Linked DNA regions of Solanum lycopersicum. The main gene of each other region encodes a partner of the protein of the gene in region 6 in a complex. Links are inferred from orthologs where the notes say so. Each region holds a gene or a part of one and is shown on either strand. Other genes may lie near its edges. The genes, in order: large ribosomal subunit protein uL4c, large ribosomal subunit protein bL9c, large ribosomal subunit protein uL10c, large ribosomal subunit protein cL38, 50S ribosomal protein L27, large ribosomal subunit protein bL28c and large ribosomal subunit protein uL24c.

The links.
Region 1: large ribosomal subunit protein bL28c (region 6) and large ribosomal subunit protein uL4c share a complex: the UniProt entries of both Arabidopsis thaliana proteins name them as parts of the 50S ribosomal subunit. The link is inferred for Solanum lycopersicum from reciprocal best matches to the Arabidopsis thaliana genes PRPL28 and RPL4.
Region 2: large ribosomal subunit protein bL28c (region 6) and large ribosomal subunit protein bL9c share a complex: the UniProt entries of both Arabidopsis thaliana proteins name them as parts of the 50S ribosomal subunit. The link is inferred for Solanum lycopersicum from reciprocal best matches to the Arabidopsis thaliana genes PRPL28 and RPL9.
Region 3: large ribosomal subunit protein bL28c (region 6) and large ribosomal subunit protein uL10c share a complex: the UniProt entries of both Arabidopsis thaliana proteins name them as parts of the 50S ribosomal subunit. The link is inferred for Solanum lycopersicum from reciprocal best matches to the Arabidopsis thaliana genes PRPL28 and EMB3136.
Region 4: large ribosomal subunit protein bL28c (region 6) and large ribosomal subunit protein cL38 share a complex: the UniProt entries of both Arabidopsis thaliana proteins name them as parts of the 50S ribosomal subunit. The link is inferred for Solanum lycopersicum from reciprocal best matches to the Arabidopsis thaliana genes PRPL28 and PSRP6.
Region 5: large ribosomal subunit protein bL28c (region 6) and 50S ribosomal protein L27 share a complex: the UniProt entries of both Arabidopsis thaliana proteins name them as parts of the 50S ribosomal subunit. The link is inferred for Solanum lycopersicum from reciprocal best matches to the Arabidopsis thaliana genes PRPL28 and RPL27.
Region 7: large ribosomal subunit protein bL28c (region 6) and large ribosomal subunit protein uL24c share a complex: the UniProt entries of both Arabidopsis thaliana proteins name them as parts of the 50S ribosomal subunit. The link is inferred for Solanum lycopersicum from reciprocal best matches to the Arabidopsis thaliana genes PRPL28 and RPL24.

What each region holds. Positions count from the first base shown.
Region 1 is NC_090806.1:67,227,920-67,231,266, reverse strand, and holds large ribosomal subunit protein uL4c, read right to left. Parts: upstream 2,121-3,347; 5' UTR 1,630-2,120; coding exon 801-1,629; intron 728-800; coding exon 690-727; 3' UTR 501-689; downstream 1-500. UniProt on the Arabidopsis thaliana protein: This protein binds directly and specifically to 23S rRNA. May play a role in plastid transcriptional regulation.
Region 2 is NC_090810.1:57,591,530-57,595,607, reverse strand, and holds the start of large ribosomal subunit protein bL9c, read left to right. Parts: upstream 1-1,278; 5' UTR 1,279-1,423; coding exon 1,424-1,561; intron 1,562-1,676; coding exon 1,677-1,804; intron 1,805-3,347; coding exon 3,348-3,393; intron 3,394-3,529; coding exon 3,530-3,627; intron 3,628-3,702; coding exon 3,703-3,750; intron 3,751-4,078. UniProt on the Arabidopsis thaliana protein: Binds to the 23S rRNA.
Region 3 is NC_090803.1:3,526,023-3,528,829, forward strand, and holds large ribosomal subunit protein uL10c, read left to right. Parts: upstream 1-1,374; 5' UTR 1,375-1,478; coding exon 1,479-2,168; 3' UTR 2,169-2,307; downstream 2,308-2,807. UniProt on the Arabidopsis thaliana protein: This protein binds directly to 23S ribosomal RNA.
Region 4 is NC_090803.1:63,903,610-63,905,884, forward strand, and holds large ribosomal subunit protein cL38, read right to left. Parts: upstream 837-2,275; coding exon 501-836; downstream 1-500.
Region 5 is NC_090810.1:58,850,415-58,854,602, reverse strand, and holds the start of 50S ribosomal protein L27, read left to right. Parts: upstream 1-1,388; 5' UTR 1,389-1,435; intron 1,436-2,674; 5' UTR 2,675-2,681; coding exon 2,682-2,948; intron 2,949-3,628; coding exon 3,629-3,730; intron 3,731-3,801; coding exon 3,802-3,987; 3' UTR 3,988-4,188.
Region 6 is NC_090808.1:67,409,465-67,413,588, reverse strand, and holds the start of large ribosomal subunit protein bL28c, read left to right. Parts: upstream 1-1,324; 5' UTR 1,325-1,473; coding exon 1,474-1,690; intron 1,691-4,115; coding exon 4,116-4,124. Other genes in the region: uncharacterized protein, read left to right, coding at 1-473.
Region 7 is NC_090806.1:68,736,217-68,740,514, forward strand, and holds large ribosomal subunit protein uL24c, read left to right. Parts: upstream 1-1,498; 5' UTR 1,499-1,628; coding exon 1,629-1,721; intron 1,722-3,129; coding exon 3,130-3,168; intron 3,169-3,478; coding exon 3,479-3,709; intron 3,710-3,892; coding exon 3,893-4,099; 3' UTR 4,100-4,240; downstream 4,241-4,298. Other genes in the region: calcium/calmodulin-regulated receptor-like kinase, read left to right, coding at 189-524. UniProt on the Arabidopsis thaliana protein: One of two assembly initiator proteins, it binds directly to the 5'-end of the 23S rRNA, where it nucleates assembly of the 50S subunit. Required for optimal plastid performance in terms of photosynthesis and growth.

The DNA.
Region 1 (3,347 bases), on a different chromosome or scaffold from region 6:
CAATTAGCGCTTAAACTCAAAAGTTCTAGTAAAAGCCTAGAGATACTCATATACTCTCCATCACATATTTTGATAGTACAAATGTCCAAGTTATCTGCCTCCATAGATAGTCTACTAGATATGGTCTGTTTCAAGGTTAATAATGCTTAGCATCCCATATGCCCCCAATGACTCAAAACAAAGTAAAGAGCATTTTTTCCTGCCAATTACTTTGTGTTTGTATTAAAGAAAAAGGTGATGAAGCTTTTTCCACCCAAATAAAGGTTTCCTTTTCTTAACTTTGCTTAATTGCTTCAAGCCTAAGACTCAAACACAAAGCTTTCCTAATCATTTTACTTTGCTGAATCTCGCCTGGCTGACAACTTGTAACCCATAAATCTTATATAAAGCTTCATCTACTAAGCAATTAATGTAGTTTTGCCAGAACACAAGACTTAATTAGTAAAGTAACTAATCACTCTTATCATAAAAATCAAGAACTCAAAGTGGTAATGAGAGCGGAACGAAAATCAAGAGTAAACTATTCCAACGAAGGTAATGGACAAATGCAGTCAGTGACATGAAATCAACCAAAATCACCTAGTTTTATCATACAATAAAATACAATTCAAAGTGAAATATACTAAGCTCCCTGTAAGGTAAAGCCTCCTCTAAAATGGAACAGACCCTTTTCGCCCCATGTTCATATATTACTCAGAACTTTCAGCACTCTCCTCCACCTCGCCACCTGAATGCAGCAAATTAACGAGTTAGCTAAAATTGAAAGGAAACTTCATACCCAAAATGAAGCAAAAACTAACCATCTTCTTCTTCCTCGTCCACCACCTCCCAGTCATCATCATCATCATCATCATTTCCGTATCGTTCATTCAAGAACTCCACAGCTGATTTAGTGAAAACCAGCTTCTCAGAATCCAATATGTCGAAAAGATTCAAAGTTCTGGGTGTCAACATCTTCAATGTGCTAATGTTTCTGCTGGAGAGAATCACATTGTCTGAAACTTCCGTCATCAAAAACAAAGATTTCTCTTTTGGGTCCAATCCCCATCTTCTCATCAAATCAATGAACTCCTTAGTCTTCGGTTTCTCAAACTTATCATCAAACTCTTCCACAACAATGGCATTCTGTGTAGCACTCGAAAGCGCAGTAGAAATCGCGAGTCTCTTTTCCTTTTTGTTAATCTTAACTGACCAATCCTTAGGTTTCGGCCCAAACACAACCCCACCACCTGGTCGTAAAGGAGTTCGGTTCGACCCACGTCGAGCTCGACCCGTTTTCTTTTGTGGGTATGGTTTGATACCACCACCCCGTACTTGGGCTCGGGTAAGGGTGGAAGCAGTACCGCGACGTTGGTTGCGCAGGTCAGTGGTAAGCCCACGATGAACGACGGCGCGTGCGGTATCAAGAGGGGCGGATTTTAAGTTGAGAGTGGTGGAGCCCACTTCGGTACCATCAAAGGACAGAATTGGAATAGTGGCGGCGGCGGCCTCTGAACGGATGGAGAATTGTTGTTGTTTGGGTTTGAAAATGAGTTGTTTCTGCTGCTGCTGCTTTGAGGAGTGAAGGGTGTTGGAGTTAGAGAAGAAAATGGTGGAAGAAAAGAAAGATAAAGAAGAAGAAGTAGCCATTTTTGCAGTGAAGGAGCAAACTGCAAGCCTATGGATTGGGTTATCCACAAATGAGGAAGAAGGATATCAAAATGTATTCATATTCTTTGTTCAAATAAATTTAGTGAAAATGGAAAAGTCATATATACCCTCAAAGTATTTGAAATTGAGCACATATTTGATAAATTTAGGGACATATTTGCGGAAACATGCGCTCCCTGCGGGTAATAACAAGAGAGTGAATCCTCCAAACTCAAAGAGTGATTGAGTCCGTCTCAAGCGAGTGAGTGAAAGGCGTGGCAAGAGAGCGAGTTCGACTTGCGAACGATCAGCAAGTGAAGGACCGATCCTTTTGCGCCAATGAACTCTTCAACTTTACGACGTAACAGACTCTCTAGCTTTACGAGATAGTGATAAGGTCTACAAATATTCTATTCTTTCTATGCTTATCGTTGTCAGAGTATATTTGATAATTTTTTCACTTATGAATCAACAAATGAGGTTAATCAAATGTTTCATTTAGACTAATAACACATTCAAAATGATAAGGTCATATATAAGCCAAACTATTGACGAAGAGTTGAAGGGCATGTCTATTTAATTTACAATACTTTAAGAACATAATTAAATCTTCTTTTGTGTAGGAAAAAAAATAAATTTTTTAGAGCGTAAGCGACAAATAAAATTTTTATGAAATGTGCTCTTTATTTTTATTAATTTTGATATAATATAAAAGTTATACAATTTTCTTGATCAAGTCTTTTGTTAGTTGGGGCTACACCATCATAAGCCCAAAACCTTCATTTTCTTTTATTTTGAGGCGCTATTGATGCAGCCTGCTACATATTGCCTTCCCTTTCCAATTTTTCCATGATACGCTAAGCCCAACTCGTATGTTGAATTCGGTTAAGAAAACAAACCTTGAATCTAATCTAACTGTAACATCGTAGCTAGCTCAAGAGGAAATAATTGTTCAAGATTATTTATGCTTATCAATCAATTTAAGACTCAACGCTCCTTTGCACGTTCATGGTCAGATATCATGAATGTAAGCAATATAAAATGGAGACCTAATATTAAATGATAATGAAGTGAGATGGACGTAACTTCAATACCATATTAGATTTAACTCAATTCAAAAGATAAATCGAGGAGATATGATTGTTCAAGAGTATATAAAGAAATCAATTTCTCCTCGTTCCACTTATGTTGAAACTTAACAAACTCAATTAAATTTTGAACTAATAATTTCAAATGTACCATAAAAATAGGTTCTGCAGCTTACATCCTAAAATTAGGTAAGCTATGCTTATTCCACATTGAATTAAAAGCAACAGAAAGTTCATAGGTCTTTAGTAAAAAGAATTTATACTAATATGGGATTTACAATTGCCATGAAAAACGTCTTAATCAATACTCCTATCTCAATGACTATCTATAAGTACTCCTTCATCCTTAATTAGAGATTTCAGATTTGAATCTTTCAAAGTACAAAGTCACCTTTACGAGGAAACAATGAATCCCTCAGTACTAATGTGAATCCAGATTAGTTGAGCTCCAATATGAATATCAGACATCAGGCGCATAAAGCATAGATTCACAAGATTCTTCCCAAGAAAACTCCCTACATGCACCAACAAAGTTAGTGAAATCTTCAACTCCATTTTGATCATAGTAACAATCCTTGAACCAAATATTCATATCATCATCATCACTAGGAGTTGAAGAATCCATGTCTG
Region 2 (4,078 bases), on a different chromosome or scaffold from region 6:
ATATACAAAATTTGTTATAGCATATAAATATGAATTTTTTATTTGCCATATGTGAAAGTTGCCCTTATTTATATGTGTAAATACAAAACAATAATGTATGAGAGACAGAAAGAGTACGCTTTTACAAGTATGACTTTGATGAAAAAAATATGGCTAAGTGAATGTAAAATACTCTCCCTCCGGATTTAGATGACAAACTTTTTTTTAGTCAATTCTAAAAGAACGATACATTTCTTTATTTGATAAATAGTTAATGACACTGTCAATATTTTGTAGATGACTGGATCCCACTTATTCGACAAAACGTCTACAAAGTTGTGTTCTTTCTAAGGATAGTTTTGAGATATACAAAGTATTTTCATATTTTTTAAACTTCGTGTCCAATGTCCACTACTTAGTCAAGCAACACCACATGAATTGAGACGGATGGAGTATTATGTTGGGCTGTTTTTTTTGGATAAATTTTAGAAATCACATAATTTTAATATGAAATTATAATTCATCCCTCTTTAGTTTGTAATTTCATTAATCCCTTAAAAAGTAACACAAATCGGATACATTTATATGTAACTCGAATACATTAAAGAGTATCTTAGATGCATTATAGCATAAATCGGATGCATAATATGTAGTTCAGATACATTAAAAACTAGATCGGGTACATTATAAAATAAATCGCATACATAATATGTAACTCGGATACATTAAATACTAGCTCGGATACATTAATATGTAGCTCGGATACATTAAAGAAATAATGGATTTTAGAGGTCTTTAGAAATAAAAGGGGATATATGAAAATAAGGAAAATATAAGACGTGTATTTCAGTAAGGGTAAATGATAGAAATCTCACTTTTAAGTTCTCTTACTATTATTATCCCCTATTAGTTTTACAAATCTCCAAAATCCCTCATTTTCACACATCAAATTAACGTATCAGCACATCAAATTAATGTATCTCGCACATCAAATTAATATATATCACGCATCAGATTAATGTATATCGCGCATCAGATTAATGTATCTTGTATAAAGTGTACATCAGATTAGTGTATTATGTATAAATGTAATGTATCGTACTTAATGATTAATGTATCTCACACATCAGATTAATGTATCAAATGATACAATAATATATTATTGTATCATTTGAGAAATTTTTGTAATTATATACTTGTAAAAAACAAATGGTAATTTTGCCTTAAAAGTATGTGATTTCTGTCCTTCGCCCAAATAGCCTAAAATATTATAATTGGACTAAGAAATGGGCTTTACATGAATTGTCCCAATAAGTTTTGTTGGCCCATTAAGACATCCATTATCTTCTTCAGTTCGCCATTACAGATAAGATAACGCTATAAACTGTAAAAAATACAGAAAAACGGAGCAAAAAGTGAAGAAAAGAAGAAGGAAGACTTAGCTATGGCGTCATGGGGTTCATCTTCTTGTCTCCAAAATTACAGCTTAACCAAAAACCCATTTTCCGAAACAGTGAAATTTTCAGAAAGAACTTCAATTTTAACAATTGTTGCTCAGAAAAAAGCCAAGAAAGTTCGAAAGGTGAGCTAATTCTTGAAAATGTGATAATGGGTTGGATTTATAATTGTCAAAATCTCATTTTTTGTCCATTTATGGTTAATAGCTGAATTGGGTATTTTTTGTTTTGATGGAACAGATAATACTGAAAGAGGATATTTCACAGTTGGGTAAAAAGGGAGACCTTTTGGATGTTAAAGCTGGATTCTTTAGGAATTATTTGCTACCATTGGGCAAAGCTCAAATTGTGACAGCTGCACTTATCAAGTAACTCGTTTAACTCTACTTTGAACTAGATTTTTGCCATTTGATTTCATTGCCTTTTAGGTTCTTCTTTCATTAGCTGTACTTTTGTGGAGTTCGCGGTTGTTTGGTAGCTTGGTAGAGTTACGCAGGTATCAGTTATTTCGTCTTGTAACCTGCATAAGATAATACATTATATATTAGTTAGGTAGGTTTTTGAATTACAAATTAAACTTTGTGTTGATTTTATACATGAATAACTTATTCTCTAACTAACTGCCAAACATTGTATTACTTATACATTAAGTTAATATATGAGTAAGTTGCTTTTTTACTAGCTACAAAACACCCCCTTAATGTTTGTTAAAATTGGTTCTGCTTGTGTTGGATGGATTTTTAAGTATTCCTTTTGGAGACTGTTAGTTGATTTTAAGTGTTGAATATTCACATTTCCAATCACCCTGTATAGTTTAACGGCATAATCCACAGTGTGTCATGGACACCTGATGTTGATGTGGCAAATATATTTGGTTGGTGCCTAGATGATCATTTTGTAAGTTGGAGTGTTCAACTGACACAGTGGAGATGAGTTGAGGTGTAGATGTGCATACTCAAAGTTGGAGTGTTTTCTTGCTAGTTGATGCCGAGTTTGAGTGTTTTCTTGCTAGTTGATGCCGAGTTCAAGTGTCTGTTTCTGCATTATGACTAGTTAAATTATCGACTTAACCTTATTATTGAACTCAAGACTTTGGTTCTTCTGTTCGTTATCTTATTTTCATGCCTCATAATTAATGTCAGGATTCTTTGGTTCAACTATTTAAAATGCCACACACAATACTTTGCTTGGCTGTTGATGAGTGGAAGTATGTTATTACTATTGCTTGTTTTGTTTTATCTTTTATCTAAACCAATGGACCTATGTCGAATGGAGATAAAATAGGTATACTTAGTCTATGGGATCCTTTAAACTAATTGTAACTAGCTGAAAAGTGGACGGACCCATGGATTATACATATCTTCGTGCAAAGGTCGTACCAGAATAATCATTTTCGATACTCCTTGAGCAGAAACTCTGTATGGCTTTGGTGTTATAACTCTTGGTCAGTACACAAACTCTGTATGGCTTTTGTTCCCTGAAATAGTGCTTCGTATGATTAATGATTATAGGTTTAAGTAAATTCGCTTCTTTTAACCAAATATAATTTATTGATAACGGATTCGTCTTCAATACAATGTCCCACAATGCATAAGATGGATAATGGTTGGATATAAAACTTTAGATTTCCTACTACTTAGTGACTTTGTCTTTAGCTTTTGGGTGAGCAATAGGCCTAACCAGCTGTTAACATTAATGGTGTGATAGTCCTGTAAAAGTCTTATATATAAGGGATTTGCTATTTCATACTAAAGAACAAAACAAATAGGTGAAGGCTTCGTTAGAGATGGTTGTTAGAAGCAATTTTGGTTTGATATTTTTGATAGCTATTAGCGTGCTTCGCCATCAGTGAGAATTAACTAACTTCATGGATGCATTTTTATTTTATAACATTATGTACTTTTTACTCAGGGAAATGAAGATGGAAGACGAGAAAATTGAGGCTGAAAAACAACGGGTAATTAGATTATTCTGATTAATCTAATCTATTGAAAGTTGAAAAATATATACATTTTTTTTTTATTTTCAAGTCACTAAAAGTCTAAAAGAGTTTCATAATGAATGTGGTTTTAGTTAAACGTTTTTGATTTCAGGTGAAAGATGAGGCACAACAGCTTGCTCGAATTTTTGAAACTATTGGAGCCTTCAAGGTGAAGCGTAAGGGTGGGAAAGGAAAGCAAATATTTGGAAGGTCAGTGAAATACTAAATTGTGATGAGCAACTTGGTGAATATTTGATCTACCTTTTGACGTCATCTCTCTTGCAGTGTCACTGCTCAGGATCTCGTTGATATTATAAAAGCACAGATACAGAGGTACCATTTTCCAATCTTTCTGCCATAGCATGTAAATAGTAGTATGCGAACTAATTACTACTATATGTTCATTGAAGACTGTTAAAGTATATTGTCCTTCATAAGGTTGATCCTGTAATATGAATTTGCATGAACTTGAAAACTGATGTTCTCTGATTCATCTGGTTTATTAAGTAATTCAAATATTTTTCATGCAGTGCTTATTTTCTTGTGTGATTCCTTCTGTGCGATGTTACTTACTCGTTAACATCAGTCATCGAGAACAGTGGAGTATACTGATTCCATTTTCCGTCTATTGCTAGAGCAAAAACTGTTTTTTTGAAGCAAT
Region 3 (2,807 bases), on a different chromosome or scaffold from region 6:
GTATTTTTGAAAACGTATTTGGGGCGAGTCTCAGGACGAGTCTCGGGAAGGGGCGTATCAAAAACACTTCGAGGTGTAAATTAAAGACGTAGATCCATTAGGCATAGGCATTAGCCCCAAGCATAAAAAAGTAAATCTTAGACGTAAAAACGTTCGCCCTTAATTATTTTATTTTTTTCTTCAAATCATATTCATGATATTTCTCAAAAAGTAATTATAGATTATTTTTTTTGTTCATTACCGATTATTAATACTTATCTCAAATAAAAATCATAAATCATTGAAAGATTTACTTTTGCTTATTTTATTAATAATTAAACTAAAAATTGAATATACATGTGATTATGCCCCTTAAAACTATGAGACTTACGTCTTGTGTCTCAGGACATACGCCTCACCATATACTATGTAAAAGATTTCACCTCACGCTCTGTCTTTACTATACAGATACAATCTATTCAAATATTATATTTATTAAAATAATATAATATAATATAATTGAAGCAAAGTCTAGGACCTGAGCAGAGAAAATAACAAAAATATCACTTGTGATTTTGATTACATTCAGAAATAATTTTTGAATATTCTTGACTCTTTAAATTTATTTTAAGCCAGCATTTTTAATTGATAAACTTGTAGATACAGATATACATACTTGAAAAAGGATTGACGAGGTGTAGAAGGAATAATATTGAATATGGTGAATTTTAGTAGTAAATAATTTAATTATTATTAATATTTGTATGAGTTATATTTGATAGGAGTATTATTTTATATTTAATATTTGATTTGACGTAAAGAAAATAATCTGTATTACATCAATTTTGAACAAAATTCTTTATTTATATAAGTATCTTTCACAAATATAGTAAAATGATGTTAAAAGAGTTTTGAAGAGCAATAGTGATTTTATTATGCTAATGCATGAATATTTTTTTTTACTAATATCCACATAATTCCATATCTTATATACACCTTAATGCCAAATACATCATATAATATTTGCATTGATTATACTTAATGCGACTCTACTATGAAATTCAAACAAAATTAATAAAATATTTTAATATAGAAGAAAAATTGATATGATTATTATATTATTTTTTTAAAAAAAAATTAATAAAGCATCTGAAAATAATGATAATATATATTTAAAATAACTGATCGAATCATAATTAATATCTTTAAATATAAGATAAAATAATTTTACATTTTATGAAATTATTATCTTTTATATATCATATCAAATCATCTCAAGAATTTTGTTAATAATAATAATAAAAATATATCTAACATAATTTTATAAATTAAAGACGATAAAATATATGTAAATATTACACCTATTTTGCCTTTTTTAACTTCTTTAATGGTTTGTTTGGTATGACATAAATATTTTCAAAAACATAAAGTTTATGAAATACCCCTAAATTCTATCTTAGCACAAAAGATAAGGCAATCCAATTCTCAAGCTATCATCAATGGAGGCTGCTCTCTTCAGCTTACCTTCCTCTTCCTCTCACTCTTACCCATTTTCCGTGAAATCCCACTTCAACAATCCCTTCATAATCCCCCATTCCAGTTCTCACCTCAAACTCAAACCCAGAACTCTAACTATTCGTTCAGCCATTAGCAGAACCAAGAAAGAAGAAACAGTCGAAACAGTGAAGCAACAGCTTGAAGATTGTTATCTCTTAGCTGGAATCAGTTACAAGGGGTTAACAGTTAAGCAATTTCAAGATCTTAGGGCTCAACTCCCAGAAACAACAAAGCTTCTTGTTGCTAAGAACACATTGGTACTTAAAGCAATTGAAGGGACAAAATGGGAAGCATTGAAACCATGTATGAAGGGAATGAATGCTTGGTTATTTGTTCATAGTGAAGAAATCCCAGCTGCTTTGAAACCTTATAGGACTTTTCTAAGGGAGAAGAAATTGGAAGATAATGATTTTACTGGTGGGGTTTTTGAAGGGAAGTTTTATGGGCCTGATGAGTTTAAGGTGCTTGAGAATTTGCCTACAAGAGCTGAGATTTATTCACAGCTTCTTGGGTCTTTGAAAGGACCTGCTTCAGCTGTTGTTGGGACTATTCAAGCTCCAGCAAGGAATTTGGTTATGGTTCTTAAGGCTTATGTAAAGAAATTGGAGGAGGAAGAAGGTGGAAGTCAATAATTTTTGTTGTAATTCTTGGATATGGTAAGCTAATACTATTGTCTATTTGGATCAATATTTGAAATTTTTCTGAGAGATGGAATTTTGTAAATTTTATGTTTTTGGTAGAATGAATTTATCCTTGGCCAATTGTTCTAAATTTGTGTCCTCGTATTTGGCGGATAATTATCTGGATTACTTCATAACTGTTTGAGAGGATTTATGTTATGTGAAATGTACTATTCTGCTCTTTCCATTATCACTGAACCAAGAAAATAGTCTGTATTCCTGCTTCAGCTCACTATATTTGTCAAATATTAAAAGGGCAGCTCGGTGCACTAAGATCTTGCTATTTGCTGAGTTTGGGCTTTGGTAGTAGTCTGGAGGAAGTGTGTAGCTTTATTCTTGCAGTTTCTTGCTATTGTTATATGTTGATCGCACTATATTGTTGACGTTATTGTTTCTTGCATGTATCCTCTGCAGTGCTTTCCTATTACTAGTTCTCATGTTTTCCTTATTGTCGTTTTCCCTTTTTGTTAGTACTTTCATTTACTTCACTTGAACTGAGGGTCTTTTGGAAACAACCTTTGTACCTCCACTAGGTAGAGGTAGGGTTTGCGTACACTCTACCTTCCCCAGACTCCACTTTTTGGGATTTCT
Region 4 (2,275 bases), on a different chromosome or scaffold from region 6:
TCTGGAGGGCAAATAATTGGGTTTCATACTTTGTAAATATGCCATTTACAGTAGGAACATAAAATGTACATTGTTGGCTCGTCTAATCTACTGGATAGTTTGGTTTTGATCGGAATGGTTGTTGCGACATAGTTCAAAGGATTCCGATGTTGAATGAGCGAGTATATTGCCTTAATGCAAATACAAACATAGCTACTGTTTTCTCATTCATTGTTTTTAGTACGAGACCCCTCTCCCCGATCACATTTGATATTTGCTTTACATAATATATAATTTTGCTATTTTATTATACGGAACCGATATTCGAAGGATATTGTTTATTATCTCACAAGCTACGGCATTATCCAGTGGCATTGAATAGATTAAAAAGTAAAGCGTAAAACATTCATTTCAAATCACTTATTGCGCCAAAACTGCAATTGAACAAGTTGCAAATTTCCCCAAAGTATCAGACGGAAAACACCATTATACAAAAGCCGAAATGATAAGTTACAGAAAAATTACTCAGATTTGGCGTCGGACTCTGAAGCTCCGGCGGCAGCGGGTTGACCCGATTCATCACTGGCAAAGGACCACTCCGATGGTAAGGGAGGTAACGGAGCATAAACAGCTGGTCCACGTCGAATATCCCAAGCTTGAGTCTTCCGTGGACGTGTCTTCTTATGGTGAGCTGTAGCCTTCTTCTGTGGCCTAGATGAGCACTCAATTACCAATCCCCCGATACTTGTGGGTGCCGACGCCAACCTGGTGGCTCCGCCGGTGAATCCGGTCGCTGAAACAGTTGAGGAACGCGGCAACACCGCCATCTGCAACCCGAATATGGCGGAGGCTGACATTTTCTTTTTTCTTCTCTTCAAAGGTTTTTCCTTCTTCTGGCTGTGTTTAATGGAACCTTTGAAGTGGATTGCCTTCGTTATCTTCTGGTGACTTCAGTTTCTGCTAAGGTTACGACACCGTTTGGCATTTGGGCCTTAAAGCCCTTTTGGGTTATTTGAGTGTTGGATGTAGTAGAACAACAATTGGTCTGGCCCAAATAAATCTGTGGGATCATTTACACTTTTGCTTCTATTTAGTGTTGGTCTTTAATTTATGTATAGTTTATATTTTTGTATAATAATAACTTACCATTTATGTTCATATATTAAGTCTGAAAACTAAACGTAACTTCACAATCGATAGGAGCGATGGACGGTGTGTATAAAGGGCAGAGACGGAGAAATTCTTAGTTAGAGACCCAAAGGTCATTGTGATTAAAGAATAGTTTATGAAATTTTAGTACATAAGTGAATATAATTTAGAGTCAAAAGTACACGGCCTAATTGAGTTCAAATGAGTAATAATCTTATAAGATCATGGGACACAATTCCTCAACTTGTGTCTGTATGTTTGGTAATGTTTTCAACTAGTCATAATTATTTTAATCTTTCTCTGATATTATATGATTTAATATAAAAGTTATTGTATAATATATGGAGCATAGTAGTTGTATTTTGGACATAACTATGAGAAGTGAATGTTGACTATTAGTAGGTTACATGTTTAGAGGAAATGACTTTACTTCTAAAAGGTTAAATTGTTCCTTCAATTGGTGTCAAATCGTTTCATTTTCCTTCCTTTTTCGATGATATTGAAGTAAACTTCACTTGAATGGATACTTTTATTTTTTCATTACCATAATAACACTTTTTTGTTATTAGTTGCTTATTTAGGCACAACTTGAGTTCACGTGTACCTATTACTCTTTCCTTGCTATAATATATATGTGTAAAATCACCCCACTCCAGAAGGATTAATAGTGTTTTTTATCCATCAAACGTGAACTCAATCACTTGATGTTGAAGGCGACTCAATCAATTATTACATGACAATCAAACACCGTGAAAAAGATACTTGAAAATAAGTAGGTCATACAAAATACACCTGAGTATGATTCTTACACATAAAAGAACAAACATATACGTCTCTTTGCATCTACTGTTAGCCTTGTGAGTAATATTATAGGCCAGTCTATCCCATTTGTAGTCCGTGACCTTTATTGTTCCCCCACTTATATGAATCATCAAGATTAATGGATTGACCAACTTCATCTGCACTAATCAGCCCAAAACATCCTATAGCCGAGTAAAAATGAGTTGGTTACCTCTAGCATTTTGGCAATTAGTGCTTTGTTTTATTGGAAAAAGAGTTAAATTGCATATTTTTATAACTCTGGTGTCCGATCCAGTATCATGTACCCTGATAGTCAAAGATGAAAGAAAATAGAATAGTGGTTTTA
Region 5 (4,188 bases), on a different chromosome or scaffold from region 6:
TAAAAATGGTGAAATTCTGAATTATTTTAATTTTCCATCACAATCTTTATCGGTATTTTACTATTACATGTTAAAACCATTGATGTATTTGCACATATAGATTATATAGCATGATGTTGGATTTAATTATTTTATTGTATTAATTTTATATATTGAAATTTAGATATATTTAAAATGTTCACCTAATATTATTTTTTAACCAATAAATATATTTATTCTTTGAAAGAATTAGGTTCATGGCATTTATATTCTCCACTTGTTCTTGTCCTATAAAAGTAAATAAATTAAACAATCTATTTTACTTTAAATATTCTTCTTTTAAATCCTTTAATTTACCAACACAACTTTTGACTCGAGCAATCAATTCCACTAACTAGTTCAAGAAGCATAATATGAGCAATTTTCAAGAATAATGTGGCATTATTGTAGGTCGGCGTGTTAAATAATCGGGTTGAATTAAAATTTAAAATATTAAAATGAGTTCAAATAAAATTTAAGTCGAATCATAACCTCTTCAAATTATGTTAGGCTCAAATAGGATAAACATTGGATTGGATCATGACCTGTGCGATTTGACATGTTTAATCTCAATAATTTAAACATATTGTTATTTTCCTTTAATAACTATTATTTGAATTTTAATTCAATAAAAACAGTTATAAAATTGATATATAAATCATAAAAAATATAAAATAGATTCTAATTTATGCATTCAATATGAGAACATAAATTACACCAATACAAAAAATACTCTTAAAACATGTTGAAATTAGAGATTACATTGGACACAATTAAAAATTATTTTAAAATGGGCTAAAACGTAAATAAGTTGAGATTGATCCAATTCAAAATATCTAGAGCTCCCGCCTATAAAATTTTAAATGAGTTAGACGAGTTATATATATTTAGGCTCATTTTGACATTCTTAACCGTACTTGTATGGAGGTATGCAAAAAAAAATTATTCTTATACTTTTTATCGAAAAATCATATTATATATGCCCGTAAGTAGGAGTATGAAATTTTCTCGATAAAAATTAAATTAAAAATTTTTAAATATGATTTCATTTTTTGAAAATACTTTTCGCAGAATATCAATTTGAGATTAAAAAACGTTTTCAAAAATATAAAAACAATCACTTGGATTTTAGTTTCGAAGAAAAGATATCTGAAAAAACATTTTATTTTACTAATTAAAATCATATTATTCCCCTTTACAAGTTCGATAAAAATATTTACAACTTCAATATTTATAAGCAAAATTAATTTATGTCCATAACTTATGTTCGATAAACGAAACCATTAAACTTAACCCGAAAACAAGCTAAAAAAAGCCCAATTCAAAACGGGTCAAGTATATTATAAAAAGGATGGCTGACATTTCTCTTATCTTTTTATCTCGAAGATTTTGCCATTGTGGCTCCATAATCCCCTCGGTGAGTTCATCTCTTTTCCCCTCTTCTGTAAATTCAATGTTTTTTTCTTGTACTATGTTTAATTGGGTGTTCGAAAATGTATTTAATTTTAGCTGACTCGCAAATCTTGGTTTACTATTCTCTCCATTTCAATTTGTTTGTGTGGTTCGACTTTGGCAAATAATATAAGAAAGTAAAGATTTTTTTTTAATCAAGTGGGGTTGAAGTAAAACTAATGTTATGTCGAATGTATCAAAATGTTGTTTAATGTGAAAAGTTAGAATTGAAGAGTTGCTATTGGAAATTGAAATGGAGGGGGTTAGTATTTATGCTTCACTAGGATTTGAACTTGAGACGTTATGGTTATCAATCTACTTTATTGACCGCTACTAATATTTTAGGTGGACTGCAATCTTGATGAACATACTAGTGTTTATTTTGTTGTTGATACTGGTTTCCTTTGATTCCTCTTTGTTTTGTGGTTTAAAGACTTGTCCTTTATGATTAAATATGGTTCTTTTATGACCAATTGCTTGCGTAAGGACTTATTTGCGGAATATTTTGTGGTGTAGAGTTTGCGAAATGCGTTTGTGGTGGAGGGGGGTTGATGTTTGGTGTAATTTTGAAAAGAAAAACAATGAGTGGAAGTAATGTGTATTGAAATGCAAGAGATATATAATGGAGTAAAGATAGTTGTAATGAGGACTTAAGGTACTTCTATTGTTAGGAGTGTGTGTTTTGTATTTTTTTTGAAGATTGATAATAAGCTCAGCAAATTGGTTTTATATTTTGATAAAGCTGAGTATTAAGAAATGACAATATTATCTAAACAGTGGTTGGAGCGAGCGATAAGGAGAAAGAGCTGAAATCGTAGTAAAAGGAAATGACTTATCTCATAAGTGAGAGTAGTTATTTCCCCCTTTTGATGGAAAACTTTTTTTCTTAGGAAATATGTTTAGGACCATTTTTATCACTCTTCTACTGTTTTAGTCATACCGAGCAGTGTTAAAGTCAGAGTCAAACCTTCTGTAGACTTACTATCAAAAATATATTTCTCCAATTTGTGTTCGCGATGATCCGGGGAAATTTTAGATTGGCGATTAAGATCCTTGGTAGTTGTTATGGTAATAGTTTTGTCCTCTTAGTAGTTCTATGCTCATATTTTTCCCATTGTTAAATATCACTTCCTTTCCTTTAGGCCTCTCATCTCTGATAGTAAGTACCACGAGAGGCTACTGAATTTCTTTGTTTTCTTTGCAGCGTATAAATGGCAGTGAGTTTGAGTCTTGTTTCCTCATTCAAAGGACTCTCCTTATCTTCCAATTCTCTCCTTGGGGTTTCTCTTCCCATTGCCCCTAAGTTCTCCGTTTCCTTCCCGTTGAAATCTCCATTGACAATTGAGTCTGCACACAAGAAAGGAGCTGGTAGCACTAAGAATGGTCGAGATTCTCCTGGACAGAGGCTTGGTGTCAAGATTTATGGTGACCAAGTCGCCAAGCCCGGTTCTATAATCGTTCGCCAGCGCGGTACAAAGGTTTCAATTTTACTTCTTCTGGATCTCCTCTCTCTTTTTTATTTTTGCCTAAAACTCGTATTTGCTGTGGAAGTTCTGATAGTTCTTTTGATTAATTAATAGTGCTTGAAATGAATTCGGATGAACCCACCCAAGTAGAGTGTAATTCCAGTTTTTTTGCTCAATACCTCACAAACATACTAGGTCCTGGCATCTTGTCAATAACTCTGCTCCATTCGTCTGGCTTTCTTCGTTTGGTTTGTATATTATTTGTTAGAAATATGTGGATTGTCTAGAGGGCGTTAGATTGAGTACAAAACAAGGTACTAGAGGGATACATATCTTGTCATTTGAAGTAACAGATTGCTATAAGGTTTAAGGTTTTGAGCTCGTGTCGTGAAGACATAGTTGGAAGTTCTCTTTAAGAAATGCACATTTGTTATAATCCGACTTGAGTTTTTTTTCTTTGCCGAAAGTGTCAGTTTCTGACAGTATGATGCTATGAGTAGATGTCGTCTTCTATCAGTTAGATAGTAAAAGGGTTTATGCCAGAGGTTGGTATTAGTTTTACTTTTTTTCGGCTCTGATATGATCCTGTTATCGTCTGTTTGTTTGCTCTAAGAGTAGTTCAAAAGTTGCATTCTCCGTTTAGCATTGCCATATATTCTGTTCCCTAATCGTTCTCGTGGTGATATTTCCAGTTCCACCCAGGAAAGAATGTTGGACTTGGCAAAGATCACACAATATTTTCTTTGATTGATGGACTAGTCAAATTTGAAAAGTTTGGACCTGACAGGAAAAAGGTTGAGTTCTTTAGCTTACTGCTTGTAGATATGTGGTACACGAGTGTTATTAACGTATACTGACTGTGCAGATAAGTGTTTATCCACGCGAGGTGCAACCTGAAAACCCCAACAGCTATAGAAACCGAAAGAGAGAGTCCTTCAGATTACAACGTGAACGTAGAAAGGCACGAAGAGAAGGTGTCATCCCTGAGCCTCAGTTGATAGTTGCTTCTGCTGCTGAATCCTCTGAAGATAATCCCATCACCACTTGCTGATAATGGTCTTTCGATTTTTCAAACATTCTGTTGTCGTTTTGGTTATTGCTAGTAGCTACTTGGGAACACATTTGCAGGCACATTTTCTAAACTGTGTTTCTGCCATTGTTGTCTTTTTTTGTTTGTAAATTGTGTTACTGAAAGCATGAGTCTTTGTCACAGTTTGTATGAGTACAGAATGAAATGTATGATTCAGAAGAT
Region 6 (4,124 bases):
AGGAGCTAATAAAAGACGACAGCTCTGACCCTCTACCAGATGACAGTAGTGTCTCTGCTCAAGAGACAATCTTCCAAGAAAATCTCGAGGTTACCCGTACTGGTATGGTTTCAGAAAGGAAAGATGAAAATGCTAATCCCAGTCCACTGGAGCATCTTGAGATAAACAATGACTCACCAGTTAAGGAAGCAATTAAGTCAGAGGAAGACAATGGAAATGTAGACGATAGACCTTCTGAACCAGAATTCTCATCGAAAGAAGAGTTGGATGCTCCAGAGGAACTTGAGAAAAAGGAAGAAATCCCTATTACTGAAGTGTTTGATCCGGGCTGTGTACTTGTGGAGTTTAGAAGAGCAGAAGCTGCATGCACGGCTGCTCATTGTCTACATGGACGACTGTTTGACGACCGAATAGTGACTGTGGAGTATGTTCCCCTTGATCTCTATCAGACAAAGTTTGCTAAACAAAACTAATTTCTTTTGGCCCATTCAAAACCTTATGCAGATCTCCCCAAACTTGAACGACGTTAACATAGGATTTCACAATGCTTAACTGAATGTTTGTTTGCAATTTTTACCATTATTGAGATGCCTTGGTGTTAACCCTTTTGTTAGTGCGAGAGTCGTACCCGATTTGAAGCGGAATACATGTTTTCTCCCAGATGTAGAATGGGATGAAGGAATGAGCCATTGTATTATGTCATCTAAAAATTATGAACTTTGTTTTTAAGTTGCAACAGTTTACCTACTACTTACAATATACAGGAGCACAATCTTATGGCTTCTTGAAATCTTTTATTTACCTTCTTATTATTTTGCCTTAATGTCTTGTGCTTGTAGTTCTAAATGATGTTGGTCACTGACTCAGTTGGACAGTTGATGGGATAACAGATTTTAGGGGTTGTTTGGTTAGAGAGATAAGGACATTCATAACATAGTGTGATTGATTTGAAGATAGTAGAGACGTTCAATATTATAATGATTTGATTTTGGTCTATTTGTTTGGTTTATCATAAGTGGAACCTGAAGAGGGAGAAAACGCTTAATATTATAATGATTTGATTTTGGTATAGGCTTAATAATGATTTGATTTTGGTATAGGCTTAATACTCTCTTTGTTTGGTTTGTGATATTAGACTTCCACGTGAGTAAGTAATGGAAATAAGATTAAAGCATAAACTAAGATAACACAAGTAATGCAAATAAAATTAAAGCATAACTATGATAACATATTACTTCCAAATAAGTTAGATTTTGTTATTTATTTATTCTTTTATTTAAATCGTTTGATATTATTAGACTAAAGGAAAAAATAAGTTAAATATATAATAACAATAAAAAAAAATATGAAGGCCAACAAATAAAATCATTACCCACATCCATTTCGTTATCCACTCTTCACTTCCTTCTTCAAAAAAAAAAGCAACATTCTTGAGACAAAAAAGATTCTTGCTTTGAGGAATTGGTTGCAAAAATGGCGACAATCACAGCGGGTATAAGCCTCAGAGGACCAGTAGTGGGTGGTTACAGGACATTTGCAGTGACCAAAAGGGCTTTACCCAAGGTGAAATTCAGCTCAGAGTTGAGTTTTGTGACTTCTCAATTGAGTGGCATCAAGATTTCAAGCACCCATTTGAGCTCTCCTGCTTCACTTTCTGTTCCTTTCAAGACAGCCCTTCAACCTGTTGCTCGTAATTTCTCTACCCTTTTGTTGTGTTCTCTGTGTTTTTAGTTGTTGGGGTTGTTTCTTTTTTGGTCTAGTAATATGCACATGAACTGTTTGTTGTTTTGTTTGTTTCAGTGAATTGTTGGGTTTTAACAATATTGTGAATTGTGTGTAAGAAATTGTGCTTGTGGGGAGGCAGTAGGTAACCTTAGAATTAGTCGAGGTGTGCGCATACTGGCCATACACCACAATTGTCAAAAGGAAATTGTATCTGATAATTTGAAGTTTAGTTAAGTACTTGTTACTTAGGGTAATGGTTGTTGAAGTATGTGCAAACTGACCCCGACATTACCATTATTTAAAATAAAAAAAGAGTCTTGGTGCAATTGCAAGGTTGCTCCTTTGCTGACCTGAAGGTTACGAGTTCGAGGGGCGGAAATATTAACTTTGTAGACCTATTGATGGTAGAGGTGACATTTCAGCTTTCTGAATTTCAATTAATTGGATCACATGCAAAGGGATACTGTATGGTATACACCTTCGGTCCCTCTACCCATGAAGTAGGGATAGTAAGTTCTTCTTGAACATTGATGGGGAAAAAGGAAAGATGATAACTTTCAAATGTTAATACGATGAATCATCATTTTGGTGCAGGTAGCCTTTTTATTTGTGTGTGTGTGGAGTGGCCGTACTCAAAGGGTCACAGGACCGAAATCATCATGAGTGTTACTCAGATAATTGCTCATTCCATACCTGAGACCCCATTTAGTAGTCGGGTGTCTAGAATTCAGATATGTGCTTTGTGTTGATAGCACATTACGTTAGATTGTTTAGTACCAAGTGAAAGTTAGTATTGCTGATATGGGATGAAAATTATCCCTTACAATGTGGAGGATCTGAAGACATAGCCAAAGTTGGAAAAAGTTTGATTCAGTTGCAATTTGCAAACTAAATATATTGTTTTCTTGAAATCTGTGGTATGGTAAGCTGAGCACTTGACATTAATCACATATTATTAAGTTACATATGATAATCAATGATTAAAAACCATATTATAGTTTACTATCTAAACAACTTCTTATATAACTTCAAGAGGAGAGATTAAAGGGGTGTCATCATTCCAGGGGTTTAAAAGTCTGTCTACAGTCGCAAGAAATAGGGATAGGACAACCTCACCATGTGCAAAATTAACAAACTGGGAAGAGCTTGATGGACTACAGCATATTGATTAAAGGGAGCTGCCGCGTTAACTGCATTAATAACAACAAGATCAATAAAATACGGTATATAGTTTGGAAGTTTGTCCATAGTTGTCTTCATATACTGAATGATCCCTAATTTTTCCTCCTTGGCTCTTTGTTCTCTGACTTAAGGATTGCCGATATTTAAGGCATAACAGATTGTCCAAGTGAAGAATTATAAATTATTTCATGATAAATTTCTTATATAGATGGTATCAACAGTTTTTTGGTTAACAAAGTTTGCATTCCTTTGCTGCAATTCATAGACAAAGCTGCAAAAGAAATACTATATGCATGAGAAGATATTATAATTCTTGTCGAGGCCTTTTAGGTCTCATTAAAAACTGACTGCAGCCTAAAGGGAGCTTCATTTTCTTGCTTTCACCTCTCTTGATAATGAGCAGGATTTCCATCTGCCTATTCTTCTCTCCATGAAACTTGCAGCCTAATAGTGAAATAAAAGCTTTATGAGATTCAAAGCTTATGAAAGTAGATTTCTCGCTATCAAGAATATGTAAATCCATTTACCTCTCAAATTCACCTTCTGCATTTTTTAATATTTATTTACCCACCTGTGTCCTTATTACAAGTGACCAAACTAGTTAAAAAGAAGACGAAACCAATAATGAGAGGCTGAGAGAGTGTGTTAGCTGCAGATTTGGAAGGAAAAATCTACAGAACTTGAATCTTCGGTGTGTTCGCCCCTCTGGTGTACATTATATTTTGAATATGATGATAACAGCTTGGTTTAATTCGTTCTCATTGTATGACAACAAATTGTAAAGGGTTGACTTACCTTTTGTGAAATCCAGTAATGGCAGAGTATTTGGCTTTTAGATCACTGATGAAGCTTTAGTTTACTAATCAGAAAGCACATTATGAGAGTCATTAGGAGCACTATATCACTGACACTCTTGCTTGCTTTGACTCCCTTTCTAAGTTGCTGCATTTGTCAAACTGCATCCTGAATTCCTTTGTTTTTTTAGTCCAAAACTACTTAAAGCCTTTGAGCTAATAGGTAAAATAAAACAAATTAGGGACAAGAGTAATCAAATATTCCCAGTGAAGCATCCTTTGCCTTACATCATCATGATCTTTCCTTTCCCCCCCTGCTTTCCTGCATTTTTGTCGGTTGTGCTCGAATATCTTGGCGCCTCTTTATGATAAGTAGCGTATAGAATATTAAGAGAATACATTCTGTTTTTTCAGGTAGAGTAT
Region 7 (4,298 bases), on a different chromosome or scaffold from region 6:
ATGTGATGTGAAACTTCTTTTTTTTGTGGCACATGTAGAGAGCACTGATCTCGAGTAACTTTCAGAACCCCTCCACTCCCCCCCCCCCCCCCCCCCCCTCTTCCCCTACAACCTCTTTTATTGTGCATATGTTTCTGAAGCCTATTCAGTCATATAGAAACTAAGCTCCATAGGATTGATGATTGTAGGCAGCCATGACTACAGATGGAAAAGGCGGATGGGAGGAAATCGCAGATTCCCGTCTTGATGGGAAGTATGATCTGCAAGAACTTAATGATGTAGCAGCACTTGCATACAAATGTGTGAATCGTGCTGCCAAGAAACGGCCTTCCATGAGGGACACTGTGCAGGTTCTGTCAAGGATACTCAAGTCTAGACACGAAAGAAAACGCCAGAAGCGATCTTTATCTGCAACAGCAGAGGAGATTACCATCAATGTTGAACAAGTAGATCATCGGAATCCAATCTCTGGACATCGACGTGTTGAATCTATAGATAGCACAGCTGACTCGTATGAAGTTTAACTCAGTTCTTCCATTTGTTTATTTTTTTGTTTCATCTTGTAAAATTGGTCAGGTTGTTAGGTTTCTTATTTACAAAAACACACTTTTGTCTTGGTGAGTTCGTTTGGGATACTTAGGGGTATGTTATAGTCTGAGTGTATGATAGCCTTTGTTCCCAATTTTGTTCTAAGTTTTTGTAAATTTGCGTGGAAGGTTAATGAATGGTAGAAAACGGGGAAAATCCCAGATCAGGCTTTTCCACTTCTTCTACATTAGTATCCTATTCAATCTAATTTTATTAAAAAAGAACCAAGCTTTTTTTATTTTTTAATCCCCCGATACTTTTTTTCAATATATTTATTTGTTCAATTCGTCTTTTATATGTTTTGTCAACCTATAAAACATTAAAACTTGATCATTTTTCCCTTCTTAAATTAGGGCAAATTGATACTTTACAAATTTATAATTACAAAAAATCTTCAAAACGGATACAATAATACAAGCGTTGATACATTAATCTAATGCGCGAGATGCAATAATTTAATGTATGAGATACACTAATCTGATGCGTGAGGTACATTTTATATATGATACACTAATCTGATGCGCGAGGTACATTTTATACATGATACACTAATCTGATGCGCGAGGTACATGATACACTAATCTGATGCGCGAGATATACTAATCTGGTGCGCGAGGTACATTTTATACATGATACACTATATGATGCTCGAGATACATTAATCTAATGTGCGAGATACATTTTTATACATGATACACTAATCTGATGCGCGGGATACAATAATATGATTCGCGATAGAAATTGATGTGATGCATGAAAATTGTGAAATTTTAGAAATTTGTAAAACTTATAAGGGATAATGATAATAATTAAACTAAAAGGTGAGATTTTCGTAATTAATCCACAATCCCGAAATAGCTGAAAAGGGACTTTATAATTGGGCCGTACTCGACCCGTTGAAGGTCCAATTAAGTTGGATCGGGTGTCCAGGGATAGAGAGAGAAGAAGACGAAGGTTCTGGTTTTTATTATCCTATCCAAATACTCAGCTCAGTGTTGTTTCTTCCTTCAACAAAAGGATTTTGCAGAAGGTTTTGAACAATGGCGGCTCTGCAGAGCTCCTTTACTGGTCTCTCCATCTCCTCCACCTCCTTCTTCGGCCAACGCTTCTCTCCTCCTCTCTCCCTTCCTCTGGTATGCTTTCTCATAACTTCAACTATCTGGTTTTCAAACTGAACTATCTCAAATGTTAATTGTTTTGTTTCTACAACTGTATCATTCGGTCCAGCTTGCTCACAACTCGACTAATTACGTAGAATACCTGCTACCTCTAGCCAGAATTGAATTGTGTTGCAAGTAACTTTCTCCATCCAGTCTTACATAAATGCGAAGAAATAAACTAGTGTATTGTGATTTGAACCAATAAATCGTAGTTGTTCACCACTGCATTGACCACTAGGCTATATCCTATCTGTTTATCTCAATTTCAATTGTCTTTGTGAAAGGTCTTTGTTTGAATAATTTGATTTCTATGTATTAGGGATCATAGGAACAAAGGTATCCATTTCCATTGTACTATTGATTATAAATTAATTTTATATTATTTGATTACAATATATTGTGAACTTTTTCTCTGCTTGGTCACCATTGCTACCTGAGTCCTTTCTCATATCATATGTTTTTTCGCTATTATAAGTTTTGACTGCGTGTTTGGTACGAAGGAAAATGTTTACCTAGAAAACAAATGTGGAACTTACTAATTTTCTAGTGTTTATATGGTAACTAAGCTAGATAATATTATTCCAAGAGCATTTATATGTTATATATCCAACAAAATACTATGGAGGCGAGATGGGATGGGGAGTGGGGATTCGGGGATGGACGGACGTGATATGGTCAAGAAGTGGGAGTTGGAGGGATTGGGTGATGATAACTTGAAATGCTACTTATCCATCTTGTTTTTCTTACTTCCACTACGGAAGTCATTTTCTTTATTTTGAACTTGAACTTGTTTTCCTAAAGAAAATATTTTCGTAACACAGGAAAGTTGGAACTACATACCAAACACAGTGTATTTCTAGCTGCAAGAGAATAATTTTATATATAAAGACATCTACAATTTGATACAGTAGTTCCTCAAAAGTTCTTCAAAAAGTCAAGTATATTAAGAATATGCTAATTGGTTAACTTAAACTTACCCCCTCTGTTGTGATTGATGTCTTCCAAGTTCTAACATAGGATGAACCCTGTATTTGACTTAAGGTTCGAAATTTTAATATTTGGACATATTTATCAATTTTTTAATACATATATAGGGTCTGAGTTAAAGCTACTGGGTGCTGCTGAACCCATATTATACATATGCCTCTGTGTTCCTCGATAATAAATCGTTCTCATATTATAGTTACCTGTATAATCAGAAGTTATTGGAAGCAAATATGGAATAAGATCTGTCTCCAGAAAATGCACTTGCTTGTTATTCGGTTAACACTTTTTGGATGTATATCACGCCTTACGCAGTTTGTCACTTTTTATTGTGTCAACTGTAAAACTGGATAATCTTTTGCCACTTTAATGACAATCTCCATATAATGCCGTGCAGGTTAAATCAGCAGAAGGTCCATGTTTGATTACAGCAAAGGTTGGTATCTTGATCCATTTTGGTCCTTTAGTATATTGTCCGAGATAGACATTTCCGGCAACTACTTTTATAGGGTTGCTGTTAATGTGGTCATGCATTTCTTTTATAACTTATGATGTAATGAAGGAAGTGCTCGAACTAACTTGTCAACAGCTTTTAAAAATGGCCACCAAATGTTTGTATTGCTAAACCTTTGGTACTAATTTTTATGGGTATGATATTCTTTTAGCTGAAACAACAGTTAATGAGAATTGTGATTAGAATTAGCTTTATCATTGAATAAGAGCTTCTTTTTATGTCTATTTTGCAGCTTAAGCGATGGGAGCGTAAAGAATGTAAGCCAAACAGCCTTCCAGTACTACACAAAATGCATGTAAGGCTGGGTGATACTGTAAAGGTAATCTCCGGCCATGACAAAGGTAAAATTGGAGAGATTACCGAGATCATCAAGCACAACAGCAAAATAGTAGTAAAAGAGGTGAACTTGAAAACCAAGCATGTGAAGAGTCGGAGTGAGGAGGAACCAGGCCAGATAGTCAAGGTTTTATCTCGATTTCTTTCTTCTCTATCTTGCCTAAAAATTGTTATCTTGAGATTTCATTTCGTCGTGGCTAGCATCGAATTCATCTTTGCCCTAACAAGAAAGTAAAACTTTGTGTTAAGATTTTAGATTGAACTTCCCCAAGTTGTTTGGATTGAGACGTAGTTGTTGTTATTGTTTCAGATTGAAGCTCCTATTCACAGCTCAAACGTGATGCTTTATTCAAAAGAGCAGAAGGTAGCCAGTCGGGTTGGTCACAAAACTTTAGACAATGGAAAAAGAGTCCGGTACCTCATTAAAACTGGGGAAATCATCGATAGTGCAGAGAACTGGAAGAAAGCAGTCAAAGAGAAGGGGAAAACAACAGAAGCAGTAGCTGCTGCTTCCTAGGAGATCCACTGGTCTGTAAATTCTAGTTCGATTTTGCTAATTTTGAATCTTCTCTCATTGATATATTATGATTCTGTTGTCACCTTCACCTTTTTAACTCAGTAACATAAGATTTTATATTAAAGTACATTTACTCAAAAATTCTGTTTGCCAGTACTATTACGTACTAGAGTTTGATGGTTAATGGGTCGAATACAAT